Linked DNA regions of Xenopus tropicalis. The protein of the gene in region 1 purifies or fractionates together with the protein of each later gene. This does not show direct contact. Links are inferred from orthologs where the notes say so. Each region holds a gene or a part of one and is shown in the gene's direction. Other genes may lie near its edges.

The links.
Region 2: the proteins of fbxo21 (region 1) and cul1 purify together in Homo sapiens (affinity purification with mass spectrometry; 6 studies listed by BioGRID and IntAct, with this or other methods). This does not show direct contact. The link is inferred for Xenopus tropicalis from reciprocal best matches to the Homo sapiens genes FBXO21 and CUL1.

Annotation. Positions count from the first base shown.
Region 1 is NC_030677.2:164,844,128-164,860,445, reverse strand, and holds the start of fbxo21 (F-box only protein 21), read left to right. Parts: upstream 1-3,153; 5' UTR 3,154-3,177; coding exon 3,178-3,407; intron 3,408-6,894; coding exon 6,895-7,030; intron 7,031-8,028; coding exon 8,029-8,126; intron 8,127-8,596; coding exon 8,597-8,718; intron 8,719-9,225; coding exon 9,226-9,372; intron 9,373-10,361; coding exon 10,362-10,498; intron 10,499-12,273; coding exon 12,274-12,410; intron 12,411-16,318. UniProt on the Homo sapiens protein: Substrate-recognition component of the SCF (SKP1-CUL1-F-box protein)-type E3 ubiquitin ligase complex.
Region 2 is NC_030682.2:55,186,552-55,202,869, reverse strand, and holds part of cul1 (cullin-1), read left to right. Parts: intron 1-3,338; coding exon 3,339-3,513; intron 3,514-4,088; coding exon 4,089-4,256; intron 4,257-4,395; coding exon 4,396-4,446; intron 4,447-5,002; coding exon 5,003-5,093; intron 5,094-5,838; coding exon 5,839-6,002; intron 6,003-6,589; coding exon 6,590-6,752; intron 6,753-7,458; coding exon 7,459-7,589; intron 7,590-7,946; coding exon 7,947-8,054; intron 8,055-8,139; coding exon 8,140-8,246; intron 8,247-9,458; coding exon 9,459-9,507; intron 9,508-9,962; coding exon 9,963-10,094; intron 10,095-11,422; coding exon 11,423-11,540; intron 11,541-12,242; coding exon 12,243-12,319; intron 12,320-16,318. UniProt on the Homo sapiens protein: Core component of multiple cullin-RING-based SCF (SKP1-CUL1-F-box protein) E3 ubiquitin-protein ligase complexes, which mediate the ubiquitination of proteins involved in cell cycle progression, signal transduction and transcription.

The DNA of each region.
Region 1 (16,318 bases):
ATTGATCCTGTAGTTAGCCTCAGGCTGATGCCACACGTGGCTTTCTACGCTGTGTATTTTCTAATTCAGCGGCTGAAAAACGCCTGATATCATCATCCATAGAAATAACTTGAAAAGACTCTTAGCACGGATTTTTCAAGCGTTGGCTGAAATACGCCAGTATTTGCAAAGCAAGCTATTCCTATGTATACACAAAGGCAGCTGCCAGACCTAGCTGAAATACGCGGCGTTTTTTTACTATTTTGCACTATTAGCACCATGGAAAAGGGATTTGCTATGTCACCAGTACTAGGCTGAAAAACGCCATAGTCAGGGGCTGTGTGGCTTGTGCGGCGTTTTTAGGCTGAGAGAAAACGCAGTGTAAAAACGCCACATGTGGCATCAGCCTTACCCAGCAATGAATTATAGACTCCAAAGAAAACAAAATACAAATATCAGTATATATAGGCTCCAAAATCCATCACTGATTACATCATAAATCCTTTAGGTTTATGTTACCAAAACAGTTATATAATCAATGTATATTTTAGGATCATAATATAATCAATGCATGTTCCAGGGTCAATATTAAGCTGCCTTTTACATAGCTTATTTCATAAGTAAGCATTAAAACGTGTCAGGCTAACGGTACATGGTCAGTATAGTTTTTAATAGATATGTAATGAAGTGACTTTTTAACTTTAATTTGACAGATCTCTGGGTGTTTCCATTGTTTCTTCATATGAGTGTGTTTATATCTTAGCCATTCCACCAAGGCACTACCTGCCAGCAAAAAAATGCTAAGCATAGTGTGCTACGTCTGGCTGAACAGCTCTAATTTACAAAAAGACCCTGCCCACTGATAACCACTTATTGTAATGTGCACAGAAAACTTGCAGATGCCGTAGCTAGAGATTGCTGGGGAACCAAGTAAGTGGGCAGGCAGAAAACAAAACTGTTGAAATCAAGATCTAAATACAATCAAGAGGAGTAAAATAGGATTAATTAGCTCACAAGCGTAGGTTTGCTAAAACAAGCATCTCAACCGCATAGAAAAACACCCATGTGTGAAAGGGCCCTATTAACACAACTTTTATTAATTTCTTAATTTGAACATTTTAAAACAATACACAGAATACATTTAGAATCTTCTACTAAGTATGTAGTGTTCTTAATCCAAATAGTTTGGAACAAGGCAAGATAAAAACCTGTGTGTCAATTTTACTTCTTAAAGGTATACGGTCATGATTTTTATTTTAAATTACACTATTTATATAGTAAATAATTCACTCTACCATTTAAAATTTTATTCTTGACCCAACTAATGTTTTTTATAGCTATAATATTGGTGTGTAGGCGCTATCTCATTGCCTTGTGCCTGAGTCTGAGCTTTCAGAAGGAGCAACTCTGCACATTAGAACTGCTTTCAGGTAACCTATTGTTTCTCCTACTCCCATGTAACTGGAGGAGTCCCAAGCCTGACTTGGATTTCTTACTATTGGGTGCTATTCTGATATCTACCGAGAGCTGCTTTCTTGCTACCTTCTCATTGTTCTGCTGATCGAGGGGGTGATATCACTCCAACTTGCAGCGCAGCAGTAAAGTGTGGCTGATGTTTATCAGAGCACAGGTCACATGGCGGTGGCACCCTGGCAAATGAAGAATATGGCTAGCCCTATGTGACATTTGAAAATTAACTATAAAAAAAATCTGTGTTTTTGAAAAACAGATTTCAATACAAGATTCTGCTGGAAAAGCTCTAATAACCGATGTGTTTTTAAAAAAAAAAACATGTTTTTCCACGATAGTGTTCCTTTAAAATTTAATAACTTTGTTTGTTATACTTTGACATATATTCAGCTTCTTTTTAATAAAACTATTTTTTGGGTATCCCTGCCTACAGAATAAAATACTTCAATTGTTGTGTCTGCATGTATTTATATATTTATACACACACTGTATACAAACATTCCAAATATCTCCTTTCCCTGTCTACCAGCCCACAAACCCTCTGTCTGATTTGGCAGCTAGCACTGGTGCAGGGAGGTGGGCCTATGGGTTCAAAATAATAAATAATGCTGCTGCTCCAGCCTTTTGAGTCTTTGACCCAAACCATACAACACTGCTACAGTAGCTATAGGTGAAGAGGTCTCTGTCACGTTAGAGGGGGGCTGGGGGTGAGGTAGTATTGCTGTAATGATGCCCTCTCTTTATTTTACCAATTCGTTACACTGTGGCTTAATAGCAGGGTGATAGCCTCAGGTCTATTCTACCAAGTAAACAAGTTTTATTGACGACAAATTGCTTCATCTCACCTAAATGTATGCAGTGCTGCTCTAATGAATTTAACTGGACCTTTGAGACTTTTTGCAAGCCAATGATTTATGACTTAGTGATGAGCAACCAAAAACAGTGACGTTACCCTCTATAGTTATACAAAACCCTCTTAACAGAGCTTTCAAATTTCAGCTCAATTTTCCGCAGAGTAGATTAGTGATGTGCGCCTCAAAATCTTAACCCGCACCCAAAACTAACCTGAAAAATGTTGCCATTGTAGGACCCACACCCAACCCGTATTCGTGTCTTTTCACTCTGTACACTACTTGTGCAAGCCCCTTAGGTTTCAAGCCAGGGAAACTTTGGAAGCAGAGGAAGAGTGTACTTCCCCAGTCTGACCCACACCAAACCCAAACTCACAATGGTGGACTAGCCAGGGAAGTCCACTGGCAAAGGGTTCCTAAACTGAAAAAATAGAAAAATAGAGATGGAACAAAAAAATAAAGGGATCGACAGAATAAAGGCACAAGGAAGAAAGAGAAGGAGGTTTAAATCAGTAGGACAAAGGAGAAGGCTGGGCTGGGTTAAATAAATTCTGGAAAAACTTTAGCCTGCCCTTCCTAGCTTTAGCTTTCTCTTTATAAATAACATTGCGATGAAAAATAATTCTATTACAATAAATTAGGAAAGAGGGCAACAGAAGCCATTAATAGTACTGTATGGTTTTGGTTGTCAGGGCCCAAATAACCTAATAAAAATCTTATTTTTACAGGAAAATGTGTAAATATACAGATGCACAGATGTATAGCTCCCATTGATTTCAAAGAAGCCAAGCTTCAGCCCAATTACTGCGCAGCCGCCGTGGCGTCATTACTGAGCGCCTGCGCACGTCAAATACGTCAAACATGTAAACAAGGCAAAATGGCAGCTTCCTTAACGATAGCCGGATCAAGCAGCACTGAAGACTTTTCAGCAGATGATACACTGTCCCCACCTGGCATAGCTCAGCTTCCCTGTGAGATCGTGGAACACATACTGTGCAGCGGCAGCCTCGGCCATGAGGATATCGTTAGTATGAGCTGTACGTGCCGGCGGCTAAGGGATGCGTGTGCTGGGCGGGGGAAAGTCTGGAGGCGACAGCTGTTTGACAGGTGAATAACAGGCCACCAAATTCCACGACAGACCCTTTATGCATTCTGTTTGCACATTTCACTTACTGCTCACGATGATTTCCATATCTTGTGACCTGAATGCCATTTCCTTTGCTCTTTCTATTCTGTATATGAAGACTGATAGGCTGCTAATCTTTATTGCGCTTTAACACAGTCCTCCTTGTACTTACAAAGTTACTCTGTATGGCAGTGTGAGACCCTGTATGTGAGGAACCATTTGTGCTAGGTTATGTGACAATTATTTAATGGAATGGAGGGGTTGATACCAAATATGCTACACTGAACCATTGGAGTTGCCCATGGCAACCACTCCCTGTTGGACTGGCCCACAGGATACCAGGAAAAGTTCCGGTGGGCCCAGGTGTCAGTGGGCCCTCATGCTCACCCAACCGTTTGCCTCGTATGCCTCTACCATGGCCATTACTCAATTCTATATGTGGCACCCCAGAGTCCGATACTACACCCACTCTTCTAACATGTAGTCTGCTTAAGTGTAACTGCACATTGAACAGGTGTGTATGATAATGTACATAACCCATATGTAGGGTTGCCACCTGGTCAGTAAAAATTATGCTGGATTTCAATGTTATTTATAGGGAAAAAAGGTAAGTATATAGGAAGGCCAGTGTTTTTTTCACAAAAGGTGCTGCTTGGCCAGTAATGGTGATACCTGACATCAATGTTACAAACAGGGAAGAAAGGTAACAGATATGAAAGTAGGTGTGATAGAACAGCAAGGTGGGTCAGGATTATTGTTAATATCCAGCTCTTACATAATTAATTTGGGTTGACCACTATTGCATATATATATATATATATATATATATATAATATATTATAGTTCATAGGAGAGGCACTCACAATAAAGGATACATACAGTATATATATATATATATATATCACGATAAAGGATATATATATATATATATATACAGTGGTGTGAAAAACTATTTGCCCCCTTCCTGATTTCTTATTCTTTTGCATGTTTGTCACACAAAATGTTTCTGATCATCAAACACATTTAACTATTAGTCAAAGATAACACAAGTAAACACAAAATGCAGTTTTTAAATGAGGGTTTTTATTATTTAGGGAGAAAAAAATCCAAACCTACATGGCCCTGTGTGAAAAAGTAATTGCCCCCTGAACCTAATAACTGGTTGGGCCACCCTTAGCAGCAATAACTGCAATCAAGCGTTTGCAATAACTTGCAACGAGACTTTTACAGCGCTCTGGAGGAATTTTGGCCCACTCATCTTTGCAGAATTGTTGTAATTCAGCTTTATTTGAGGGTTTTCTAGCATGAACCGCCTTTTTAAGGTCATGCCACAACATCTCAATAGGATTCAGGTCAGGACTTTGACTAGGCCACTCCAAAGTCTTCATTTTGTTTTTCTTCAGCCATTCAGAGGTGGATTTGCTGGTGTGTTTTGGGTCATTGTCCTGCTGCAGCACCCAAGATCGCTTCAGCTTGAGTTGACGAACAGATGGCCGGACATTCTCCTTCAGGATTTTTTGGTAGACAGTAGAATTCATGGTTCCATCTATCACAGCAAGCCTTCCAGGTCCTGAAGCAGCAAAACAACCCCAGACCATCACACTACCACCACCATATTTTACTGTTGGTATGATGTTCTTTTTCTGAAATGCTGTGTTACTTTTACGCCAGATGTAACGGGACACGCACCTTCCAAAAAGTGCAACTTTTGTCTCGTCGGTCCACAAGGTATTTTCCCAAAAGTCTTGGCAATCATTGAGATGTTTTTTAGCAAAATTGAGACGAGCCTTAATGTTCTTTTTGCTTAAAAGTGGTTTGCGCCTTGGAAATCTGCCATGCAGGCCGTTTTTGCCCAGTCTCTTTCTTATGGTGGAGTCTTGAACACTGACCTTAATTGAGGCAAGTGAGGCCTGCAGTTCTTTAGATGTTGTCCTGGGTTCTTTTGTGGCCTCTTGGATGAGTTGTCTCTGCGCTCTTGGGGTAATTTTGGCCGGCCGGCCACTCCTGGGAAGGTTCACCACTGTTCCATGTTTTTGCCATTTGTGGATAATGGCTCTCACTGTGGTTCGCTGGAGTCCCAAAGCTTTAGAAATGGCTTTATAACCTTTACCAGACTGATAGATCTCAATTACTTTTGTTCTCATTTGTTCCTGAATTTCTTTGGATCTTGGCATGATGTCTAGCTTTTGAGGTGCTTTTAGTCTACTTCTCTGTGTCAGGTAGCTCCTATTTAAGTGATTTCTTGTTTGAAACAGGTGTGGCAGTAATCAGGCCTGGGGGTGACTACAGAAATTGATATTGAAATTGAAAATTGAAATTGATAAACCACAGTTAAGTTATTTTTTAACTAGGGGGGCAATCACTTTTTCACACAGGGCCATGTAGATTTGGAGTTTTCTTTCTCCCTTAATAACGTAAACCTTCATTTAAAAACTGCATTTTGTGTTCAATTATGTTATCTTTGACTAAAAGTTAACGCTTTTTGATGAGCAGAAACATTTAAGTGTGACAAACATGCAAAAGAATAAGAAATCAGGAAGGGGGCAAATAGTTTTTCACACCACTGTATATATATATATTCCTTATTACCCTCTCTAACAGCTTTCCTTCAACTTCAACCTTTTCCTTCAAACTAACAGGCCTATAGTAGGCTAAAGCTGGCCATTTATGCACCAATATAATCACAGGAAAGTCTGTTTTGTATGATTAGTCAAATGGACAGGTTCGAACATTTTGGTCAGATAACGATAAAATTTGCACATGTACTGTATATGTGACGATATCCTTGGGGGACCCACAATGCATTTCTGGGATGTCATTTTCATACGATTGTTGTCTGTCAATTATTTTATGTTCAGAACATTCTCTGATTTGTTTTTTCAGTACTTAATCCTACAATTTCGATCTGAATTTTAGGGTTAGGGTTTAATTAGGGTTTATTAAAGGAGACCTGTCATCTTAAAAATTCTAATCCTTTTTTCTCATGTTAGTTAAGCAAAATAAACTTAACTTACATAACATAAATCATATTAATTTTGTATCCCTCAGTCTTGCAAATATACAATCACAGCAAACAGGTAGCTACCATTTTGTAAACCCTGTTATTAAGACAAGCTTTGCAACATCCGACAATCTTGCTTATGCTCCACAGTCTGGCACCTGATTCCTTTGACCAAATGCAATGGCATCTAGGAAGTGCTAAATGGAAAGTACCTGCCTGTTCCCAGATTTTGGGTTTCATGTTTAATTTGTAAAGGACTTTTTATACAGGTTTATATGTGGGTGACAGGTCCCCTTTAATATATAGTGCCCATGGGTTGTGCTGTATGGTGCTTTTTTCCTCCTGCCAATGACAATGGATGGATAATTTAACCCTTCATAATGCATGATTATTTTAAATGCCTTTCAGTAAGTACCAAGATGTCTAAGGACTGTGACTGCAGAGAAATGATTGTTTCCTTTGTGTAGATGGCCATCTTTAAAGAAGTATTACAGTCCCTTGGATTCTTTGGACTGGAAGGAAGAGTACAAAACTCGACATAATGCGGGGATAGCAACACACGCAACTGTGGCATCCTTCACTAAGCAGCTTGTTGTAGAGCATGTAAGTCATGTTTTAGGCATTTTTGCATAACATTTGGCATTTTCATATGTAATCTTTTCCATTTATCTTTCTCCTATTACATTTTATTATTTTGTTTTTTAATTGTGTTCCCCTTGCTTAAATGACAAGGAATGGCTAAGTATAATAAGGAGTTCAGGGAAAGGCATACCTCATGAGTGTAGTGAGTGTAGTAATTTCACTGAAGCCCCTGTTTAAAAGATCTTTAGCTTAGCTTACTTCCCAAAAGCTGGAAGAATAGAACGAGTGCTACCCAGAAGTCACGAGACGCGTGCGCAATAGCTATTATTGACTATGACGATTTTCATTCATCCAGGTTATGGTATATCTAGTATAAATAAATCTAAAATCAATGATTACTTAACAAGTCCAGTTGCTTTATTTATACTAGATAATAGCTATTATTCCGGTTCAGCACATGCACACATTGTTAGTATCGTGAGCGCACTTTTGTCCCCTTCAACCAGCTCTATCTCTGGAACAAGCACAGGAAAGTTTGCACATGAGCAGATGAAAGTGAAGGATGCACATGGTGATGCGATCCTGGTAAAGATGAACCTTCTAATAGAGCGAATATATACACAGAGTGATTATTCCCTTTACAGACAGTTTTTCTGACCACATCCTATTTTTTGCAATTCAGTTAGCCCATTTACTGTGTCATAATCTCTTAACAAGACGCCAAAAAAGAGTGTACAGTATACCAGCCAGAGGAGTACTCTGATGCCTTGGGGCTGTGGCCATAGAGGTAAATATCTATAGAAAAGACAAATACTGCACATTTTCATAGCCAGGAACTGCCAAAACAGTATGCCAATATCCCTCTGAGTGAGGCATAATTTGCATTTTCAGGTATAATGACCATGTAAGTTTTGGGTTATATTATGTGTTGGTATATATTATTAGGAATGCATACATTAAACTAGGAGCAGTTGGTATTCATGTATTTCATGCTTTAGATGTTTGTCTCTCTATCACAGCGCATTCCATGTGAAAGTTATAATGATCTGGATAGTCTTGGATATCCTGCACATTTTGTTGAGGATGAGTTATTAGCCATCGTGAATAGTGAAAACAGGTACAGTAAAACTTGTTTTTTTGCTTCTAGTTTTGAATTCAAAGCAAAATATGTACAGCAGGGGGTTGCTTACAATGCAATATCCCAGTACATTAATTTATTTAGGACTGGGCTGGAGATTTAGAATTCAGTCCTTGCTCTGAGACCCAAAGACAATGAGGTGTATGTAGAAAAACAATAATTTCACAGCCCAAAGTATTTAAAAATGCAAAATAATATTCTCCCAGGAACCGAGGTATAGGCATGCACAGTGTATGGCATCTGAAGCCTGCAAAATCTTGTGGCCTGCAAATGAAATAATGCAAATGCTAAATTCCTTTCAGAGAGCTTAGTTACTGGCATTGCTAGAGGTCCATTTGCCAAAGAAAGAATAGAAAAATATGATGTATCCCTGCATAGGATAATTACTGTCCTGTGCCTCTACTTACCTCAGAAAACTTAGTTTGAGTCTTTTAATGTTTTACTGACAGAAAATGTTTGTCGCTGAAATACTGCGCAAAGAAGCTCCTGTATTTTATGCGCCAGGAAGCAACAATGTGCAGACTGAAAGACTTCCTTCAGCAACCTGTAGAGCATCAGGACATTTTAGAAGGTAATAATGTCTCTTGCTGATGCAAGCCTCTTTTAGTACTAAAGCATTCTTACAGGGGAGTTCTGTAGTCATATTCTTTGTCCTATGATTTAAACAAAATGGTGACAGCTGTCAGAGCTGTCCACAGATTTCACAATTGTCTGCTTATTGACTTTTGCCTTAATATGGGTGTACTGGGCCCCTCAGCTTCTGTAGACTTCCTTGGTGAGCAGTGTCCTCTAAGCACTGTTTACATTTTTGTTTTTAATTGAGGCAATTAACAGAAATCATTTTCACCATTAGATTCATTTATTGGGTTTGTGTTAAATTTAGGGCTATAACGTCCTTTGATTTCCTGTGGTATTGCAGCAACTTAGTACATGTATGTGCTAATATACTTGGTATGTATTTTGGGTTGTTTCTGTTGTTGGTTTTTTTATGTTTTTTTTTTTTTGCAGTATTATAGAACAGTGCTTGTCCTTGTGTGAGTATTTATTTGTATGTTTGGCTTTTGATTCTCTGTCACAGGTGCTGTCCTGATTGACCAATACTGTAACCCACTGGAAGATGTGTGTCTTGAGAAAATTCAGGCACAGATAGAAAGTATACTAATCAAAGTTAAAGCTACTTTAAGTGCAAGAAATACCAGACATCCCAGCTTGTCTTTGCAGGCAGGTATGCACAGACTGTCTTTATTTCATACTAATATTGCTGTCTGTTTTCTGACTCTAGAGGAATCTCTGCAGAATCTATTGTGCAGCAAGGTTATGAGACATCTGAAAAGTTATTTTGCAGTGTGGGGGATATTGGGGAACAGTATAAGTGGCAACAATAAATGTGCAGAATTGTCTGCATTCTATTAGTAATGTATCAATATTTAGTAATATATTTTTGTTATACAATTTAAGACTTTCATACAGTAATCCAAAACATTTTCTGTTGTAGTCTCTCTAACCAGAAGGTGGCACTGTTTGGCTTTCCTCTCAATATCAAGCTCCGATACTGTTGGCTTGAATTTAGTAAACTGCATTTGCACAGAAAAATGTTTTTTTTTTTTTTTACTTTTTATTTCTACTTTATACAGACAGTAAATAGGTAGAAATAATTGACATTGAAATGAGGCTTAAAATGTGTTCCATTATTTTCAATAATGATATTTACTACTACTATTTTCTTTCACTAATAACATTTACTATCCTGCTATTTGTGAAAAAGACTTATTAGGCTTCCACTATACTATAACTATAGCTATATATATAGTAAAAAGGGAAAGTTATGCTCACCACTAAATTTTAAACCATTAGCTGGGGGTGCAATAAGGTTATGGCCACAAAATTCATACAGACAAAGACAAAAGATCCTCTACACTCACCCATAATCAATATATCAATATAATAAGGACATTAAGTGCAGGGAGTGCAAACCATGCTTTGTTTAAAGTGGAGGGTATTTTTTAGTAGCTTAATGTACAAAATGTTTTAGTTTCCTAAATATATTGATTATGGGTAAGTGCAGAGGGCCTCTTGCCTTTCCACGATAACAAAAACTTTTGACACTACTACTTTTGGCAGTTCCACTTTGGCCTACTTTAGGCAAATACATTATAGATCCTGAGATCACCTGAATTTTGTCTAAGAATTTAATATCATTAAATTACTGTGCAGGTGGAATGTGTTATATTGAAGATGTGGATTTGCAGCAACAGGCTCTGGATTCTCTCAACCATGTCCTCTTTGTTGAACAAATGTTCAAGGGCAATGTGGCGGATTTCTATAATCCACTGAATTCCTACATCCACCAGGTATTTGGAAAATGGTTTAACATCTTTGACCGTGTAAGCAAATGCAGACCAGCATGCATGGAAAGCAAATGCAGGTATTTCAGCTTTCAGATATAAATATATATCATATAAACCTCTCTAAATAATACAGAGGAGCTTTAAAAGAAAATAAGGAGTTCATTAGTTTTAAGGTTTCACAGACATATGTAGTACTGGTGTCTTGCCACAATATGCAACATATTCTAACATATTTGTCAGTTCTAGCAGTAGGGCTTATGGAGCATTCATTATACAAAAATAGATTATGGAAAAAGAGGGTTCTCCTAAGTACAATGTAAAAGGGATAAGGGGAACATGAGATAGGTGGATATAGCTTTTGGCTGAGGTTTATGTATTCTCACAATTAGAGGAGAAGATAGCAAGCTAGGATAAGTAAAACTTGGTTTCCATAAATAGTACTTTTTAAGGAATTACTTTTAAATGTTAATATATGTAATATAACTGCAGTAACATTAAAGGTGTGCAAATAAAATAAAGAGTGGCAGCTTCCAGTATTATTAAGTATTTGCCCCAAATGTCTCCCAAATTGTTATTCAGGCTTAGCACCTTGTCCATTGCTTTGTGGCCCCTTAGGGGGAGGCAGTTTGGGGACAATATTTCAATGTCAACAGAGATTGTAATAAATTAAATTAAAGCTGTACGAGCTTAGTTTAACAACACAAACACTGTCACTCATGCACTTTTTCTACGGGTCAATGGCAAACCAGTTGAAGGGAAACAATGCCCTCCCCTGTTTTTGAGATAAACTCAGTTGAGCTTATATAGAAAAGGTGCATAAACACTATCCGAACTTTCAAAAATAAATGTAAATCTAATTTTTACATAGACATACCCTATTCCACAGATTAATATGAAACCATGATGGTCTGTCTCTGTGCTATTTGGGACCAGTTTCCCACCCTCTTAGGCTCACAGTGTAAAGCAACCCCTCCCTCATCTTGTTCTCTTGTGAAGTGATGGATTTTAGGATTCATATTCTCTCTGCTTTCTATAGTGTGTGGTGAATTGGGGGTGGCTGCCACCATGTTGGGCTGTCCTTTCCTATATTCCCCTTTTTGCCAAACAGATATGATATTTCCAGGTTTGGTGAGAATGGCTTTGGAGGGAACATATACTGTATAAATAGCTGTCTTTAAAATAAATAGCTTTCCTTATGTACTTTATGTTCTCAGGTATTGTAATAGCTAAGAACATAATATATTATCTAGTGCAGATAAGATGTTGTGCCCCTTATTGTATAAATAATATGTTACTCAAATTCATCATTTTCTCTTGACTCATTGAACTCAGCATAATTTTTTTTTTTGTATGGCAGTTCTGCCTGATTTTAGTCAGTAATGTACCTTTGGATTAAGTGACTATCTTTGTCTTTGCTCTTTAGGGCTCTGGTACACAGGGAGATTAGTTGTCCACGACAAATCTCCCTTGTTGCGGGCGACTAATCTCCCCGATATGACTTCACACCTGCGAAAATGCGAAATCGCCGGCGGGATGGCATACGTGGTGGCGCAATTTACATTTTCGCCAGTGGGATGTAATATCAGGGAGATTAGTCGCCCGCAACAAGGGAAATTTGTCACGGGCAACTAATCTCCCCATCTACCAGAGCCCTTAGGCTTGTTGTGGCTTCCTGGGGAATAATGTTACTCTTTGTATTTATGTTGTTTTTATAATGATCCTCAGCCTGTTATTTCCCAGGTGTTGCATGTGACCTTATTTTTTGTTTCTTTGCTAAGGTTCTTATCACCAAGACTGGTATACCAATCAGCCTCTCCGTATTGTATTTAACCCTTGCTAGTCACCTGGGGGTGGAGCTTGAGCCTGTCAATTTCCCCCATCATTTCATGCTCAGATGGTGCCAAGGTCCTCCTGGGTAAGAAAACCTTTAGCATCATTTTATTACACATTTTGTAAATAAATATTAATGTATCTGCACACTCAGACTTAATGACAGTTTTCTTTTATCAAACCCAGTTATTGGTTACAATATTATAGCCTGACTTTAATATTGTCATTAATAAGTTATTACTTAATTATCAGTAATTATATATATTTTATTTATACTTATACAAACAATATAGTTATTCACATTTTTTTTATAATGGTTATGTTGCAAATAGGGTTCAGCATTTCCCAAATAAAATGAGCAAGCTACAGAATGACCTAAAGGCAAATCAGTCATGTATTTCAAAACTTAATAGTGGGGGTCAGATGCCTCTGTAAAATATAGTAAAAATGTTCTCTTGGGCCTAATAGTGATAATAGCCACATTAGCTGATGCTGTTAAACACTGTATATACAACTGAGCTCCCCATGGACAAGTGCTTCTGTTAGAACAGATGGAAATATATCATGGTCTAACTTAAGTTTATTGGTGGTTAGGGCCTAATAATTACTATAACAAGTAAGTCCTTATTGTAATTGTATTAGAGCAGTGATCCCCAACCTGGGGTTCAGGGGCAACATGTTGCTCACCAACCCCTTGGATGTTACTCTCAGTGCCCCAAAACCAGGTAGTTATTTTTAAATTCCTGCCTTGGGGGCAAGATTTGGTTGAATAAAAACAAGATTTACTACCAAATAAAGCCTCCTGTAAGCTGATAGTGTGCATAGAGGCTGCCTAATAGCCAATCTTAGCCCTTATTTGGCACCTCCATCAACTTTTATAATGCTTGTGTTGCTCTCCAAAGGGTTGATTCACTAACGTGCGATAAGCTTTATCATATGCTTTTTTTGCGTTAAAATTGACGCAAAAAAACACGCGGTTCGCTAAAGTATTATGACGTGCATTAAGTCGCATATCGCATGCGCTAAATAACACATGATCGCAAGGCGTTATTTTCAGGGCTGTGGAGTCGGTAGATAAATTCTCCAACTCCGACTCCTCAGTTTCTGATACTTCCGACTCCGACTCCACGACTCCGACTCCTCTGTTTTTAATATGCCAATGTATTTTATACATCCAGGAAGGGAAAGGGGCACTTAAAACACAACTGAACTGATAATAAACTGATAGACAGTTTTATCTATACTCCTACTCCTAATGATTTCCCTAGAATCCCATAGTCATGTTTAAAGTTTAAGCTAACATTACAGCTGAATTACAGCAGTTTTTCAAATGTTTTAAAGCTTCAGTCTTAAAGGAACAGTAACACCAAAAAATAAAAGAGCTTTAAAGTAATGAAAATATAATGCACTGTTGCCCTGCACAGGTAAAACTGGTGTGTTTGCTACAGTAAAACTATAATGTATATAATAAGCTGCTGTGTAGCCACGGGGGCAGCCATTCAAGCTGGAAAAAAGGCACAGGTTACTTAGCAGATAACAGATAAGTTCTGTAGAATACAGTAGTGTTTTATCTGTTATCTGCTATGTGCCTGTGCCTTTTCTCCTTTGAATGGCTGCCCCCATGGCTACACAGCAGCTTACTTATATACATTATATATTATATTATTATATATTATATATACTTATATAAACTATAGTAGGGTTTCTGTAGCAAACACCCCAGCTGTACCAGTGCAGGAATGGCTGCCTCCGAGGCTACACAGTGGGGTATTTATATAAACTATAGTAGGGTTTCTGCAGCAAACACCCCAGCTGTACCAGTGCAGGAACGACTGCCCCCGGGGCTACACAGCGGGGTATTTATAGGTGCAGGAACGGCTGCCCCTGGGGCTACACAGCGGGGTATTTATATAAACTATAGTAGGGTTTCTGTAGCAAACACCCCAGCTGTACCAGTGCAGGAACGGCTGCCCCTGGGGCTACACAGCAGGGTATTTATATAAACTATAGTAGGGTTTCTGTAGCAAACACCCCAGCTGTACCAGTGCAGGAATGGCTGCCCCCATGGCTACACAGCGGGGTATTTATATAAACTATAGTAGGGTTTCTGTAGCAAACACCCCAGCTGTACCAGTGCAGGAATGGCTGCCCCCATGGCTACACAGCGGGGTATTTATATAAACTATAGTAGGGTTTCTGTAGCAAACACCCCAGCTGTACCAGTGCAGGAACGACTGCCCCCGGGGCTACACAGCGGGGTATTTATAGGTGCAGGAACGGCTGCCCCTGGGGCTACACAGCGGGGTATTTATATAAACTATAGTAGGGTTTCTGTAGCAAACACCCCAGCTGTACCAGTGCAGGAACGGCTGCCCCCGGGGCTACACAGCGGGGTATTTATATAAACTATAGTAGGGTTTCTGTAGCAAACACCCCAGCTGTACCAGTGCAGGAATGGCTGCCCCCGAGGCTACACAGTGGGGTATTTATATAAACTATAGTAGGGTTTCTGTAGCAAACACCCCAGCTGTACCAGTGCAGGAACGACTGCCCCCGGGGCTACACAGCGGGGTATTTATAGGTGCAGGAACGGCTGCCCCTGGGGCTACACAGCGGGGTATTTATATAAACTATAGTAGGGTTTCTGTAGCAAACACCCCAGCTGTACCAGTGCAGGAACGGCTGCCCCTGGGGCTACACAGCGGGGTATTTATATAAACTATAGTAGGGTTTCTGTAGCAAACACCCCAGCTGACCCAGTGCAGGAATGGCTGCCCCCATGGCTACACAGCGGGGTATTTATATAAACTATAGTAGGGTTTCTGCAGCAAACACCCCAGCTGTACCAGTGCAGGAATGGCTGCCCCATGTCTACACAGCGGGGTATTTATATAAACTATAGTAGGGTTTCTGTAGCAAACACCCCAGCTGTACCAGTGCAGGAACGACTGCCCCCGGGGCTACACAGCGGGGTATTTATAGGTGCAGGAACGGCTGCCCCTGGGGCTACACAGCGGGGTATTTATATAAACTATAGTAGGGTTTCTGTAGCAAACACCCCAGCTGTACCAGTGCAGGAACGGCTGCCCCCGGGGCTACACAGCGGGGTATTTATATAAACTATAGTAGGGTTTCTGTAGCAAACACCCCAGCTGTACCAGTGCAGGAATGGCTGCCCCCGAGGCTACACAGTGGGGTATTTATATAAACTATAGTAGGGTTTCTGTAGCAAACACCCCAGCTGTACCAGTGCAGGAACGACTGCCCCCGGGGCTACACAGCGGGGTATTTATAGGTGCAGGAACGGCTGCCCCTGGGGCTACACAGCGGGGTATTTATATAAACTATAGTAGGGTTTCTGTAGCAAACACCCCAGCTGTACCAGTGCAGGAACGGCTGCCCCTGGGGCTACACAGCGGGGTATTTATATAAACTATAGTAGGGTTTCTGTAGCAAACACCCCAGCTGTACCAGTGCAGGAATGGCTGCCGCCGGGGCTACACAGCGGGGTATTTATATAAACTATAGTAGGGTTTCTGTAGCAAACACCCCAGCTGTACCAGTGCAGGAATGGCTGCCCCCATGGCTACACAGCGGGGTATTTATATAAACTATAGTAGGGTTTCTGTAGCAAACACCCCAGCTGTACCAGTGTAGGAATGGCTGCCCCCGGGGCTACACAGCAGGGTATTTATATAAACTATAGTAGGGTTTCTGTAGCAAACACCCCAGCTGTACCAGTGCAGGAACGGCTGCCCCCGGGGCTACACAGCGGGGTATTTATTTAAACTATAGTAGGGTTTCTGTAGCATATACCCCAGCTGTACCAGTGCAGGAATGACTGCCCCCGGGGCTACACGGCAGGGTATTTATATAAATTATAGTAGATTTTCTGAAGTAAACACACAGTGCAGGGCAGCAGCACAATATATTTTAGTTACTTTTATACAGTTTCATTTTTTGGTGTTGCTGTTCCTTTAAACTATTGACTAT
Region 2 (16,318 bases), on another chromosome or scaffold:
ATGTAATCTAAAAAGGCTGAAGTGGGTCGATGTCTAACATAATAGCCAGAACACTTCTTCCTGCTTTAAGCTAAAGTCAGTGACTTTAGGGGCGGTCACTGATTGGTTATTGACTACTAACAGCTTAGAGAGCTGTAAAGGTGAAAGTAATGTTCTGGCTATTATGTTGGACATCTGCCCGCTCTAGCCTTTGTAGATTACATTTTTGGCTAACTAACTACATTGAAAACATGAAAACATTTGGGCAGTCCTTTTACCCAGTTTCAATTGTACACTGAACAATTCCTTTAAGGAATATAAAAACCCTTAAAGAATTGAATGCAAAATTGCTCAGGCTGCTCTAAGAATGTTTTTTGTTTGTTTGTTACACTGCTTATTAACTTCTAATACAGGTATAGGACCTGTTATCCAAAATTCTCAGGGCCTGGGGTTTTCTGGATAAGGGGTCTTTTTGACATTTGGCGCTCCATACCTTAAGTTTACTGAAAAATAATTGAATCAAATCCAGTAGGCTTGTTTTGCCTCCAATAAGGAATAATTATATCTAAGTTGGGATCAAGGTCTTGTTTTATTATTACAGAGAAAAATAATATACAAAAAATAGACTCAACTCGAAGCAAATGATTCTATGGGAGATGGACTTCCTGGATATTGGATCCTATACCTGTATTAAGAATTTTGTAACAGTTCCACCTGCTGGTCAGTTCTGATGTTGCTCTGCTCAGGAAAGAGATCAGAAACCATGTCCTCCTTGTGGGTAGCAACATCAGAACAGTTCTGTGTTTTCTTTCCTGTAACATATTCTCTTCAATTATACAGTCATAAGAACTGACCAGCGAGGTTGTTACAAATTCATTATATTTGCAATTTATAAACAGCATAATAGCTTAGAAACAAAATAAAAAAAACAATACATTAAATGTAAATTACAAGAGTGCTTAGAGCCCTGGGCAATTTTAAATTCATTATTTTTTTGTGACTGCTCTAGTCCCTACCCCACCCCCCTTTCCAAAAGGGCTAGCCTCACATTAGGCAATCTCTGATTTAGATGAAAACATTGGATGGTATCAAACTTAGGTATCCGGTGACATTTAATATGTAGTAAATTTAAGTTTCTTAAAACAAAGACGTGGAAAATAAACAGTATTATAGTCTGCTCAAATTCCATCCAAAGATTGTGTTTAGAGACATCTTTGAAAAGAAGCATTTACAAAATATACCTCCCATTCCATATCCGGCACACTGATGCCAGCCCCACACGTGCATCACTCCTGTGTACATCTCTTTATTTGTACACGTACACGTATGGGACCTGTTATCCAGAATACTAGGGACCTGGAGTTTTCCGGATAAGGGATCTTTCCATAATTTGGATCTCCATACCATAAGTCTGCTAAAAATCATTTAAATATTGAATAAACCCCATAGGATTGTTTTGCATCCAATAAGGAAGGAGAAAAAGGAAATCATTTTTAAAAATTTGAATTATTTGCTTATAATGGAATCTATGAGAGATGGTCTTTCCGTAATGTGGAACTTTCTGGATAACGGGTTTCCAAATACAGGATCCTATACCTGTACTAAAATGCCTTAGAAAAATACATTTCAGTTTAGGAATGGACAAAGCTCTAAATACATTTTCAAGGTCCCGTATTAGGGATAGGAAGCAGTAAGGACTCAGAAATGCAGTTTTTGGAAGACATAATATGTAAGGTGATTGTTTATGAGCAGGTACTTTGTTTTTGTTGTTTATTTTTATCTGGTAAGAACCATGGGCAAAGGTTTAGGTGATATGCTTTCTCATTGCTTGAATTTATCAAGCTCTAATTGTTAGCCTTTGGTATTTAACAATCTTGTGAGGGGGTGTTGGGTGGTATTGGACAAAGTATTTCATTTAAGAATCCCTAAAGCAGTGCACAGGCAATGTACTTAAAAACAAGCTGTAAATCTTTTAATCTGGCTGCCATCCATGTATTATTCATAGTAGATGTTAAATATTTCTACCCTGAGCAGCTGTGCAGACATAAATATCCCAGTTTGAATGATGATACTGGATTTGCACTACAGAATAAGTTTTAAGTAAGATGTGAGCAGATTTGGAAAGTGTCCCCTGCATATTGTCATTTATACTGGAAGTTGTCTGCTGGGGCTCTTTTTTCTTGTAAATAGCTTTCCTGTTGTGTAAAGATTGGGAGACATTTCTGACATTTCTTTTTGACACCATATTCTGACCTAAAAGGAACTCTTCATCTTTTTAACTTGTTGGGATTTTTCTCTTTTGAATAGATCAAAATTGTGGTTTCCTTTAAAATGTTATGTAGGAGAATTTCCTTGGGGCATGGTGGGAACACATTGTATTGTCTCATAATTGAAATGTAAATTTTGCATAGCTGGATGTGTTTTACACATCTTAAATTCCCTGAATTTTGTAGCGCAAAAGTATGTTAACTCACTTATTCACCAGAAGTCTTAATACTTGCCTGCCATGTTAACTGGGTTAAAAGGGAGTGGAGAGAGAGAAATGCAGGACTATTTAATTTAAGGACTCTGTCATAACCTATTAAAAAAAATTTGTTATTTTTATGTTTTTACTTGCATTGCAATATATAAATAGCCATAGAAAGAGCAGATAAATCTACCCACATCAATCTAACGCCTAGAAACCCTGCATTAGGGCTCCATTAAGGGCCCATGTTTTTGCAAATTGCCGGTAACTGCTTTTTGATGTGCCTGCACCTAGAGCCACTGCATAAGCCTGGGGCAGGCTCACAGAGCAGATTTTGGCAAAATAACTCGTACTATAGCATTTCCTTGCTGAAATCTGCTCTGTGTGTCTGCACCCAGGCCGATGCAGTGGCTCTAGGTGCAGGCACATCAGAAAGCTGTAAAGCTGGCCATACACGCACCGATAATATCGTACGAAACCCCGTTTTGTACGATATTCGGCATGGGTATGGCAAGTCGGCGAGACGACTGATATCGCAGGAGGCTGCTGATATCGGTCGACGCGCCGATCGGCCAGGTTAAAAGATTTTGATCGGGCGCCATAGAAGGCGCCTGATCAAAATCTGCCTTCAGGGCTGAACCGGCAGAAGGAGGTAGAAATCCTATTGTTTCTACCTCCTTATCTGCTGTTTCAGCCCTGAAGGTTAGTGGCGGATTTGACGATCTTTCGTGCGACCGATGGCCACATTAAGGAGCAATGGAGCAGTTTTTTGGCCTGCATTTATGCGCAGGCCAAGAATCTGCCTGATTTGGCACCAGCCTTTTTGGATTTATGAAATGTTTGTAGTTGTCAGGGTTGCACCTTCTGTGTGTTCCTTAATATACTCTTTCAGACATGTTTATAACTACTGCACCAGTGTACACCAATCTAACCAAGCACGGGGGGCTGGAGTGCCGCCATCAAAATCTAAGAAAGGACAGACTCCTGGAGGTGCCCAGTTTGTTGGTTTGGAGCTCTACAAAAGACTAAAGGAGTTCTTAAAGAATTACTTGACAAATCTCCTAAAGGTAAGTTTTTGTTAAATTGAATCTCTGAGGGAATGCAATATGAACAACATGTTTCTAATACTTCATAAAATAAATGGATTTATGTTTCATATGCTGTATACAGACATAATTGTGCATTCTTCATTTTATCGTATCTGATTTATTTTTATTGTAGGGCCACAGTATATCATTAATACTGTGTAAAAAAAACAAACCAAAAAAACTACCTGCATAACTCATTGGCACTACTACTATAGGGGAGCACAGGTTTAAATCATGCTGCAGAGCAGTGTAGGTAACCTACTACCAGCTGCAGCCTACCAGTTGTCATGAGCTTAATTTTCCTGCAGCAGGATATCTGCTGCCATTTGTATTCCAAGCATATTTTGTGATATTAGGAGTACAGAATGCTATCAAAATACATTGTTTTGGTTCACAGGTCTTTAATATCTTCCATACTAGACAGGTTTAATGCATCCAAACTTGTTGCTAAAGCTGCTTGCAAGATGACTTTTATATTTTTATTTGTAATTATTACTGCATAGAAGGCAACTAAAATTGTTTGGGAATATGGTATATTAATATGTACTCCCCAGGATGGAGAAGATTTGATGGATGAGAGCGTACTGAAGTTTTACACACAGCAATGGGAAGATTACAGGTTTTCAAGTAAAGTGCTGAATGGAATCTGCGCATACCTCAACCGGCACTGGGTTCGCCGTGAGTGTGATGAAGGCCGCAAAGGAATATATGAAATATATTCTGTAAGTTGGATAACATTTGCTTACATTAGTAAACCCATTTCAACAGATTGCTTGATAAGAGAACCTATAACTGACTATTTTTCTTAACAGTGGGTGATTACATCGTTAATAGGTCTTTGTTTGTGTTCCTTTCTCCTAGCTGGCCTTAGTGACATGGAGGGATTGTCTGTTTAAGCCTTTGAATAAGCAGGTAAATATCAATACCTTGTTATACAGTCAAACTTATTGTTATTTGTGACATTTACATGATCGTTATTCTTGTAGCTGTGCTATTATGCAGTTCATCAAAGAGGCACTGTGTAAACTGAACCTTAAATTATGGCATGGTTGAAAATCAAAACAATTTTTCCCTGTGCTTCCCCTCTCCAAATACAACTGGCTTTAATATAAATTTTTTACTGTTTCTCTTACCATTTACCACAGCAAGTTGTAAGTTATGCTGTGTTCAGTAATCATCTGACAATGTATACTGCAGATGTCCCTCCTGTTGGCCCTCACTGTGCTAGCCCTAGTGTTGAGCATTGACAGTGCTTCATGCTCACAGCATACCTGAGGTGCCCATTCTCATCTTCAGTAGTGATCTGTAATTGTTGATGCTGCATTTCCAAGTTGGTAGACGGGATGTTTTTTTTGTTTTCTTCCATTCCGCTCATATTTTTTTAAATCACACCTCCACATACATACATATAACAAAAAGTTGGTAATTGTGAAGTAAATTTGTGACACTATTTGGTCTGTTTCAAAAGGTAACAAATGCTGTGCTGAAACTGATTGAAAAGGAACGAAATGGTGAAACAATAAACACCAGGCTTATAAGTGGAGTGGTGCAATCTTATGGTAAGTTAATTTTAATATGTATCCCTGCATCTGCTAATGCATAACTAATCTTTACAACATCACACTCAGAATTACACAGAGATATGGATACAGTATTAGATGTTAGGCAAGTGCTGTGAGGTTTTTCTTCTGATGATCTGTGTTCTGACTGTTTGATTTGATTGCCATCATCCTTGCATTATATATTATATATATATATATATATATATATATATATATAAATAACACTGAGAGGAGCACTCAAATATAATAAAGTGTCTGCCTGGGTGCAAATAAAATTAATAATAAAAATAGAAAGCTTTATACATAACAGGACTTGTGCAAAAAATCAAAACAACAATTAAATCACTATTTGATTTTCAGTTAAATGAGCCTAAATTAATAACACTTGATTAGTGATTTTTTTGGGAGGAAATTTCTTCGTTAAATCTGTTTAATGTTGTGTGCAGAGCCATATTTATAGGCGCCCGAGAGCCCCATTCGCAGCAGGGGATGGCCTACGGATGCCCCAAGGTTTGGGGGTGTGTGAATTAGGTCCAATGCCTAGGGTGGCACTAGACCTAAATATAGCTGGTTATGTAAATACAACTGTTAATGTGTCTGTGCTAGAAAAGGTTAATGCTTAGTCCACTTTGGTTCACGTAAAATAGATGGGTTCTCGTAATAAAAGGCACCATGCCAGCCAATGTAAAAAAATAAATTGAAAAAAAATCACAAAGCAGTAAAAATATGTTTTTCTTTCAAGTTGAGCTTGGCTTGAATGAAGATGATGCATTTGCCAAAGGCCCAACACTGACTGTTTATAAAGAGTCCTTTGAGTCTCAGTTTTTGGCAGACACAGAACGGTTTTATACAAGAGAGAGCACAGAGTTTTTACAGCAGAACCCTGTCACAGAATATATGAAAAAGGTAGGTCTGCTTTCTTTTGAAAATCTGCTATACTGTTACCAGGGTGAGGTAACCTGGTTCCAAAGAAGCAAGTATTGTTACTAATGCTAGATGTTAGGCAGCCATTTGCCAATGCTTCTGTTACACACACATTATAGGGCTTGATAGCTCTGTCTCTTCAGTGACTGTATAGGAGAAGCACAGCGAATGGTGCAAACATTTTTAGAATTGTAATTCTTTCATATATGGTGAGCAATGATTGCTTCATTCGCATTTTCAAGATTATTCTTTCTCTCTGCATTTCCCTTTATATAATAGTTGGTGTAATAATGTTAATTTTTAGGGGGGGGGGAGGTAAAACTGATAATGCTCCACACACCGCAACACACCACATCAGTTTGTATGAAATACAAACTGAAGTGACAGTTAGTGGCACCTTCTAATTGTGCAAAGTGATACATATTCACAGAAGTAATGCTTAGTGAATAGAATACCTATTCTGTCTAAGAAAAGAAAAGTCTGCATATTAGAAGAGTTTATGCACCCTGCTGTGTAATAACATTGTTCTGTGTGTGCCTAAGGCTTATTATTGCTTTTGTCTTTTTTAGGCAGAAGCTCGGCTTTTGGAGGAGCAGCGCAGAGTACAAGTATACTTACATGAGAGCACACAGGATGAACTAGCACGGAAATGTGAACAAGTCCTAATTGAAAAACATCTAGAGATTTTCCACACTGAATTTCAGAATTTACTAGATGCTGATAAAAATGAAGGTAATTATCTAACACGGGCCACTATGCTCCAAAATGAATACATTTCTACATGGGCCGCGAGCTATTACAAACAATAGCTAATTTCTGTGTAATGCTGGGAGTTGTGTACATGCACAGTTGTTGGCTATTGGGCCAGTAGCTTCTATGAATTTCTTGAATTCCTATTGGTTTATCAAAATAGATTGCCAGCCTGTATACCAATGTTAACCTTCTTACACTGTTAGAGCAAAATTAAGGTGGCCATACACGATACAATTGCGATCCTATGATATTGGTCATAGGAAAGATCGTTTGTCCACTTTACTAAAAAAACAAAAAAAAACTTAAACTTAAAAACAAAATAATTCTTTATCCCTATCTGATGATTCATTATTAACATTACAATGTTCGGGCAACTTCAAAAGCACCATCAAAAATTTCAGTACTGTCCGATCAACGAGACAACCAATATACAAAGTTATTACCGATATCAGTCGCCTTGTCTCCCACCGTGCACGCACCAGTTATCATCCGAAACTTAGTTTTGTGCAATATCTGCATGTATGGCCACCTTTAGGCAGGATATTTCCAGTTTGCCTAAATGTCATCTTTATTGCCTTGCTATAAATAACAAGTTGTTTTACTAGACAAACAAATGCAAATAACACTTCTAGTACTTTTATATTAGTAGCTAGCCGGTGAAGCCTTGTGTACTTTTGTCTTACAGACCTGGGCCGTATGTACAATCTTGTTTCCCGAATCCAGGATGGTCTGGGAGAGCTGAAAAAGCTTTTAGAAACTCATATTCACAATCAGGGACTTGCTGCCATAGAAAAATGTGGAGAAGCTGCACAAAATGTAGGTTATTAATTATGTATTTTCATTTTTGAATTTGCCTGTTCTATTGCATTCTTTACAAACAGCGTTGTTGTAGTCAGTAAACAAAACACTTACATGGTTTTGAGGAATAAATAGATATATCAGAAAATGCATGCTTTGTGCAGTATATGATTCCAATAAAATATTTTTCTAGTTAGTATTTTTTTTAGTATTATGCTGTGTCAGAATTTTTTTAATGAATTGTTCTTTGGTCTAGGCTCCTTTGCATTAAGTTGTAATATCAAATAATACTGTTAATTTAATAAGAAATTCCTTAAAAGAGTACATTAGGAATAAATTCTTGACCATACCTTATGACTTCATACCTTTCTTCAGGATCCTAAAATGTATGTACAGACTGTTTTGGATGTTCACAAGAAATACAATGCCTTAGTCATGTCAGCATTCAACAATGATGCTGGATTTGTGGCTGCACTAGATAAGGTAAGTACTTTTCTATCCAAAACCTTCGTTGTAACAATTTCAGGGCATTTTCTTTTAATACTCTACTTTTTATGGTAAATCGTAGGCTTGTGGTCGGTTTATAAATAACAATGCTGTGACAAAAATGGCTCAGTCTTCTAGCAAGTCACCAGAGTTGCTTGCCCGGTATTGTGACTCTCTCTTGAAGAAGAGGTAAGCAGAATTAGCTTGCTTGTTAGTAGGAGTTTTATGTACTCTCTTAATTGGTTGGAATATCCATTAGTTAATCTCACTGATGCCCTGCCAGTATTAGATGTTCTGCTTTTCAAACAGTGTTGTAGGTTTGCCACTTCTACCATATAAACAACAAGGATCCACTGAAGAGCCAAACTGTATAGTGTAGTTTTATCTCAGTGTGAGATGCATTGTGTTACGTGTTTCGGATCCCATGAGTCCTTTCAAATAGCACCAGTAGAAGTACCCATGAGGTCAGAAACACGTAGTGCTAGACATCTCTAAAGTTAAAGCTATACTATATTGTTTGGCTTTCCGTCTGATGAGGTTTAACAGGACTTTGTTCCACATTTAAAGTAGGTGAGGTTATGCACATTTTTAAGTGAGGTTATAGTAAAAGAATGTTGAGAGCTGCTATATTTATACATGCTTGGTTTATGTTTTAACCCTTCACAACAGCTGAGATTTTATACTGCTTGTTATAATTACCTATAATTAAGTGCTGGATAAGCATGAAATGCATTAGACTATCCATATGGGGTTGTCAGTGATTTAATGGATTAAAATAAACAATATTTTTAAGTAGTAAAACAACTCTTTTGTAGTTTCAAGTAAAATTTTGGTGTTCCTATTGAAACACATCGTGTTGTACAATTAAACTTCAGCAATGAAAACAAGGCACCACCTTGCTTCACATATTTGTTTGTTAATTAAGCCAAGTTCTGAGACAAAGCAATAATCTCTTAGGGTTCACAGCATTTCAGCATAAATCCACGTGTAGTTCCGACCTACACATTCAATTGCATGACTTCAATAGAGGCTACGGAACAGCTATGTAAAAGTTTTAATCAAGTGCACTAAAAGCTATTTAGCCTAGGGCCAATATTATCAGCCATCCAGCAGTCACCTAAATTTTATCTGCTATGTGTGGCTAATCCAAGTGCCCATAAGCATCACTTAAAATCCAGAAATGTAATAAGATGTTTCTGTTGCTCTCACCAGTCTGGTTCCTCCGTTTTTATAGACAGCTTCACTTTAATTTAGCCTACAGAAGAGTAAGTTAGGATCCAGTGTAAATTAATTATAGCCCTAATTACTTTTCCAAGGACAAATCTTCTCCCACTACCGCAATTGAAGGTACTTTATTTTTTTGTGCAATGTTATCTAATAAACACTTCTTTTGATTTTAAGTTCCAAGAATCCAGAAGAAGCAGAGTTGGAGGATACCCTTAACCAAGTGGTAAGCAGAAAATGTAGCTGTCATGGACTTTATTGAATCACTCGTCTTCCTCTCCAGAACGGAAGTCAAAAGAGCAAGACACAATTTTAATGCACTATTTTACTTGCTGATTTATTCCAAACCAATTTCCAACCTTATAGATGCCTGCATTGTTTGACTGAACAGGAAGCAGGGGGTATATAAGGCTGTTGGTAAAGGCTGTTTTGGTCCTTTGTTAGCTATTGACACCTAAGTTTGGGAATAGTGTGGCCAGGCAAAGTAAGTTAGTTAAGATACAAGACACCTTGATTTTTAAGAAGAAAATTTAAATGTAATGAGTAATTCTACATAGATATGCTGTGCTGTCGGTTATAATATATAGATATAGATAAACAAAAAAAAAATTATGAAAAATATATTAACATTTAATTAACGTGTATCCTAAATGCATATCTATTTTGAAATTGTTATTTTAGATGGTGGTCTTTAAATACATAGAAGACAAGGATGTGTTTCAGAAGTTCTATGCAAAAATGCTTGCAAAGCGATTGGTTCATCAAAACAGTGCCAGTGATGATGCTGAAGCAAGTATGATATCAAAACTTAAGGTAAGATTTCCCCACATGTAAGCTCTCACATTAGTTATAGTGAGAGCTTGTTAAGTTGTACAAAGGGAACACAGAGCATGAGGTATACCCTTTAAAAGGTGGTGGGTGCTTTTCATTCCTCTTGTTATGATTGCTTTGTGAAATCATCCATTTTCCTTGTCATAATTTGTAGCAGAATTTTGTGCAGGATCTGTTCTAACTAATGCAGAATCATGGAAAAAAATTTGCATTGAGACACAAACATCATCACATCAAATCACGTGCACACGTGCAATCTCTTTTATGTTTCAAATGTCTTTTCCAGATGTCTTGGGGAGTCTTATTCAGGGGTAAAAATATTAGGTAGCCACACAATTATTGCTTTTCAAATCAATGCTTTGGATGGCAGAACAGGTCCCATGGGGTCCAGCATGTAGCAGCCTATGATTGGCACCAGATAAATGTGCACTGTAATGATGAGCATTTGCTGTGAGGTTGTTCGAGACATATCCAGTGGGTTGGCAAGCGCCATGTTGTTGAAGTAGCTGTGTTATTGAAGGTTATAATCAGGTAGAGTTTGCAATATATTGCAGTTCTTTCACATTCTTGTAGGAAATTATTTTGTTCATTTATCTGGAGTGACTTAAAGGGATCTACAACTTTCCAATATACATTATTTAAACATTTCAGTGGGTTAAAAGTTAGTTATGATTGTCATTTTAATTTAAAGCAGTATTTGTTCATTATTTTCTGCTCTCTGGTTCTGACTCTTAAGGGCTCTGGCACACGGGGGAGATTAGTCGCCCGCGATAAAACTCCCTGTTCGCGGGCGACTAATCTCCCCCGTGTGCCAGAGCCCTTAAACAGAGTATGGGAAGTCTGTTCTCCAGGTCTGATAATCATTGGCATTGCTACACTACATTGTGTCAAGAGTCAGCAATAGACAAGGACAACTACTATTAAATAGCAGTTACAGTAATGAATAACTAAACCACTATGTCTTAATTAATGTATATTAGGAAGTTGCTTTTTACTTATTTTTTTGAGAAAAAAATAATTGGGGGTGATAGGTAGGATACCTTTAACATGATCTAACCATATTGGCTTGCCTTTAAATCTAAAATGCCATAATGCAAGCAAACAAATCCCTTTTATAAAGCTTTTGAGCTGCCTGTGGAAGTCGTCATCTCATATAAACATCATACTTTGTAATTTATAATGCTACTGCAGCAGAATATACAGTCAAGAGGAAGTACATTCTGTTCCCTCCCCAAATATTTATAAAAATACTTTTAACTTGTGTTCCAAATGAGTGTATGACCCTTTTTGTCTGCATTTTTTTTCTGCAGCAAGCCTGTGGGTTTGAGTATACATCAAAGCTTCAGAGAATGTTTCAAGATATAGGTGTGAGCAAAGACCTTAATGAGCAGTTCAAAAAGCACTTGACTAATTCTGAGCCTTTAGACTGTAAGTACTAAGCATCAGTAAATGATATTGCATACTTGTATGGAAAACATTTAAGTTTTATCACTATTTTATAACCACCAGTGATTGTAATAGAATCAAAATGCAACATACCACCTATATATATATATATATATATAATATAATATAGCAATCAATACAGGATTATGCTGCAGACTTGTATTAACAGTTGTGTTCAGTGTCAGAGAGAGAAGAGGGGCACACATTTGTTTCTTACTGTGCCAAATGCAATGTACTTCCATTACATTCTTTGTTTTACTGATTTTAGAGACGCTTCCTAGTGCACATACTTCTGTACTTTTTAACTGTAGCTATTTGAAATCATTGATATCATTAATAATTTTAGTGAGCAACCCAACAAGAACTGTTAGTGAAAATGCTTACATATTGATACCCAAAAATCTCTTTATTTACCAAATTTGCAGTCCTTCCTAGACTCTGTTGGTGATAAATAAGAAGAAAAAAAATTGTGTTGGAAGACTAATTGCATACTATGACTAGTTTAACATTTTCCCAGTTGCTTCTGGCCCTGTTTTAGAGGCTATCACATGCTGTTGCTTTGGACGTGCCAAAACACATTTTAAGGAAAAGTAAGAGTCTTAGGATAGAGTCAGGTATGTCACTCTTGTGCTTTACAGTCCATGAAACATAAGTGTATCTTACAACATGTCTTTCTCTCTGCAGTGGACTTCAGCATACAGGTTCTCAGCTCTGGGTCATGGCCCTTCCAACAGTTCTGTACATTTGCTTTACCTTCAGAGGTAAGCTCAGTCACATCATTACTTATCTTAAAGCAAATGTGTGTGAACTAAATGAATATGCATGTGTTTAGTATGATGCCTACAAAGTGTTCTTAAATATAGTTATATGGCATTTAAATGCCTTAGCACATCCAGCATTCACGTGCACTAAGATTACATAGCACAGATTGTAATGCTGCATTAATTTTTGTGTTTGTGGGAAAAAAGAGAGGAAACTGTTCCCCCATGGTTATTCCTGATAATGGTAACAGCTGCAAAGTGCTTGTTTATATACATGCTAAGGCAGTGCTGTCCAACTTCTTTGGTACCAATGGATGGAATTTTTCCGGCCTACATGGTGGAGGGCCGATAATGGAAGCCAGTTTTGACCACTCCCCCCTTTTAAACCACACTTGTGTTATCACATGACCATACCCATATTAAAGGTAGTAGTACAGCAAAAACCTGCCATACTCATGCCTGTCCTACCCTGCCTGTGTGTGCCGTGCTCTACCCGCCCTATGCTGCCTCTGTACCATACTCTGCCTGCCCTCTGCTACCTGTGTGTGACATACTCTGCCTGCCTGTGTGCCATACTCTCTCTGCCCTACCCTGCCTGTGTGTACCATACTCTACCTGCCCTATGCTTCCTGTGTGTGTCCTACTCTTGTCAGTATGGCACACACAGGCAGCATAGGGCAGGCAGAGTATGGCACACAGGCAACATATGGCAGGTAGAGTATGGCATGCGCAGGCAGCATAGGCCAGGCAGAGTATGGCGCGCACACAGGCAGCATAGGGTAGGCAGAGTATGGCACATGGGCAGCATATGGCAGGTAGAGTATGGCACACAGGCTGCATAGGGCAGGCAGAGCATGGCGCACACACAGACAGCATAGGTCAGGCAGAGTATGGCACAGGGGGCATACAGTGACACAATGCTGGCACTACTCCTACAGTCTGCACAATAACTATATATTAAAAGACTTTTTAATTGCAGTACCATCTCAGTATATGTTCTTTTTATAGTGTGAAGGGATTATTTGTAGATTTCTACTGCTCCTACAGGTCTGAGGTGTGAATAGGTGAACAATGTGGGTCTTACAGTCTGAGCCTAAGGTATGAACAATGCAGAGGGTAAACAATGTAGGAATTAAAAGGTGTGAACACTACAGGGGATTACATATTTAAACAATACAGGGGGTTTACAGCCTGAATCTGAGGTGTGAACCATGCAGGGGGCCAGTTATTCACAGTCATTTAAATCTTACCCAAAGGTAAATCATCAAACCAGCCAGACAAGTGGGGGGCCAAACAGAGGGGGGTCGCGGGCCACCAGGTGGACAGCACTAACAAACCATGAAATCTTACTCTATCCATAATTTCCTTTAAACACCAGCAAGAAAGTTAGTAATTAGCATAGTACTTTTATTAAATTGAGTTTAAAATAAATCAAGTTACTTATTTCATAAACACCAAATAGTTACTACCCACTTGCCCACCTGCAGTTACTGGACCTGCTCACTCCTTGTGACAAGATCCTCATAGTGACTGTAGTCAGGTAACTATTTCTTCTTAGAGTCTAAAATCCCCAGCAGCTAGTAATCATTTATGTCTTCTGCTGAGTAAGCCGGTTTTGTCATTAGGGGAGGATGTCATTATGGGATGCATTATTTATAGGAACCCTTTTGTAACCCTTACACTATACGACCAAAAGGTGGTGCAATATGCTAAGAAAACAGATTCCATTAATGCAATAAGTTACATCTTTCAACCAACAGAGGGTGCCACCATGCTAGAATTTCAACATAATACAAGTTACAGCTTGCAACCAACAGATGGCGATACTATACTAGAGCCGCATTGCATTAAGAATTAAATCAAAAAGTAACTCAATCCAACACATGGTACAACCAAACTAAGAATTATTTATAATAATATATCAGTAAATCTTGATTACTTAACAAGTCCAGTTGCTTTAGATTTATTTATACTAGATATACCATGACCTGGATGGCATAATGTAACAGTAACTGCTGCTGAATTAGTCCAGAAGGACAGTCAGCAACTTTTATCATGGTATGTATTGCCATCTTTAGGCAAATTATCCAGAAAGGCTATATATCTATATTTTTGTTTTAAATATGCCAGTGCAGTAGGGTTAAGTTGTTCCTCTCTGGAGGCAGGACAAACTGAAAATTCTTTCTCCAATCCCTTTCCTACTTGTGTCTCCACCTCTTGCCCCAGTTTTTTTCAGTTTGTCCGGCCTTCACCTCTCTCTTATTTTACTTAGCATTTAATTTTTCATTTATCTCCTTTCCTTTGCATGGACATAATGACAGAGAGACCTATATTATTACATCAGGTCCAGTTGATTGCTCAGAAGACACCTCATGAGCTTCCTTCCTCCTGCAAAACCATGGTAGAGCCACCCTGCATGTGCTCCCACTGGTTTATCTTTGCTGATCTAGCTTAATGGTAGAGCCTCTGTCTCTGTGTAATTATCACCGTTTCTTGGTGAAACTCTCACAGGCACACGCAATGACATCAGGTGCCCTGCAGTAACTTGGTGCTGAAGTTGAGTGTGTCTTTCCACCAGATATGTGTGTTCCCAAGCGCCCACTTCCTGGGCTGACGTTTTTCCTCCTTACTTGCTCCTATTAGGCGCCACAGCACACTAGGTGACTACACTAGGACTGCCTTTTTTTTACTGTATCAAGGAACACTTACCGTATATACTCGAGTATAAGCCGAGTTTTCCAGCACTCAAAATGTGCTAAAAAAGGAATCCTCGGCTTATACTCGAGTCAAGTAGGGGCACTGATGGATTACCTGTCCTGTTCGGCGAATCCATTGCCGAACATGGACGCATCGCGCTCCCCCCCTCCCAGCCAAGTAGGGGCACTGCTGGATTACCTGTCGGGCGATTCCGTTGCCGAGCATGATGGACACATTGCGCCCCCCCCCCCCCCCCCCCCAGCCAAGTACAGGCACTGATGGATTACCTGTCGGCGAATCTGTTGCAGAGCATGGACGCATCGCGCCCCGCCCCCAAGCCAAGTACAGGCACTGCTGGATTACCTGTCGGCGAATCTGTTGCAGAGCATGGACGAATCGCCCCCGCGTCGCCCGAGCGCACACGTCGCACGCCAGTCGCGGGGGGTTTGCGCGCGGCGTCCATGCTGCCCAACGGATTCGCCCGACAGGTAATCCAGCAGTGCCTGTACTTGGCTTGGGGGCGGGGCGCGATGCGTCCATGCTCTGCAACAGATTCGCCCGACAGGTAATCCAGCAGTGCCTTAGTGCAAGTTAGTACTGTGTAATTCTGATCAAAGGGCATTACATTTAACAAAAGACAAAGCAATTCTTGCATACATCCCACTTCATAGAATACTTCTATAATGACTTCTGTCTAAATATCAAATCTTTTTAGTATGTAGATAAGATTCACTGGCATCTCTCTCCGTTTGCATTATAGACTTTAAGATGCTCAAACAGTATGGCTAAGGACAGGTTACATTACAGGCTTTACAGTTTATGCAGTTACACACTGCTTCTTTGGGAAGCAATGGGCTTATTATATGTCTGCTTAAATATTTGTATGTTGGCCTGACCTGCAAAAATCAACAATAAATATTCTACTGCATCTGTGCAGAGGGCTGCTAGCTGCTGCAATAGAAAACATGTCCCTGTGTGTGCTTTACTGCAGTAGGAATGGGACCCCTAAATGTATGCACATGTATCTCCTTATTCTGGTGCATGCTCGGCAACGGATTTGCATGCTGTGGTTAACTTATGTTGGATGCGCCTCATTTTCCAGCCCACACCTTGTGTTTATTAATATGGTAGTTGGCTAAGCACTTGTGAGTGTCCTTTTATTAAATAATTTGATTATTGAAACTTAGCAGTAGCGGCTGCATTTCCCACCCTAGGCTTATACTCGAGTCAATAAGTTTTTCCAGTTTTCTTAGGTAAAATTAGGTACCTCGGCTTATACTCGAGTATATACGGTACTTACAA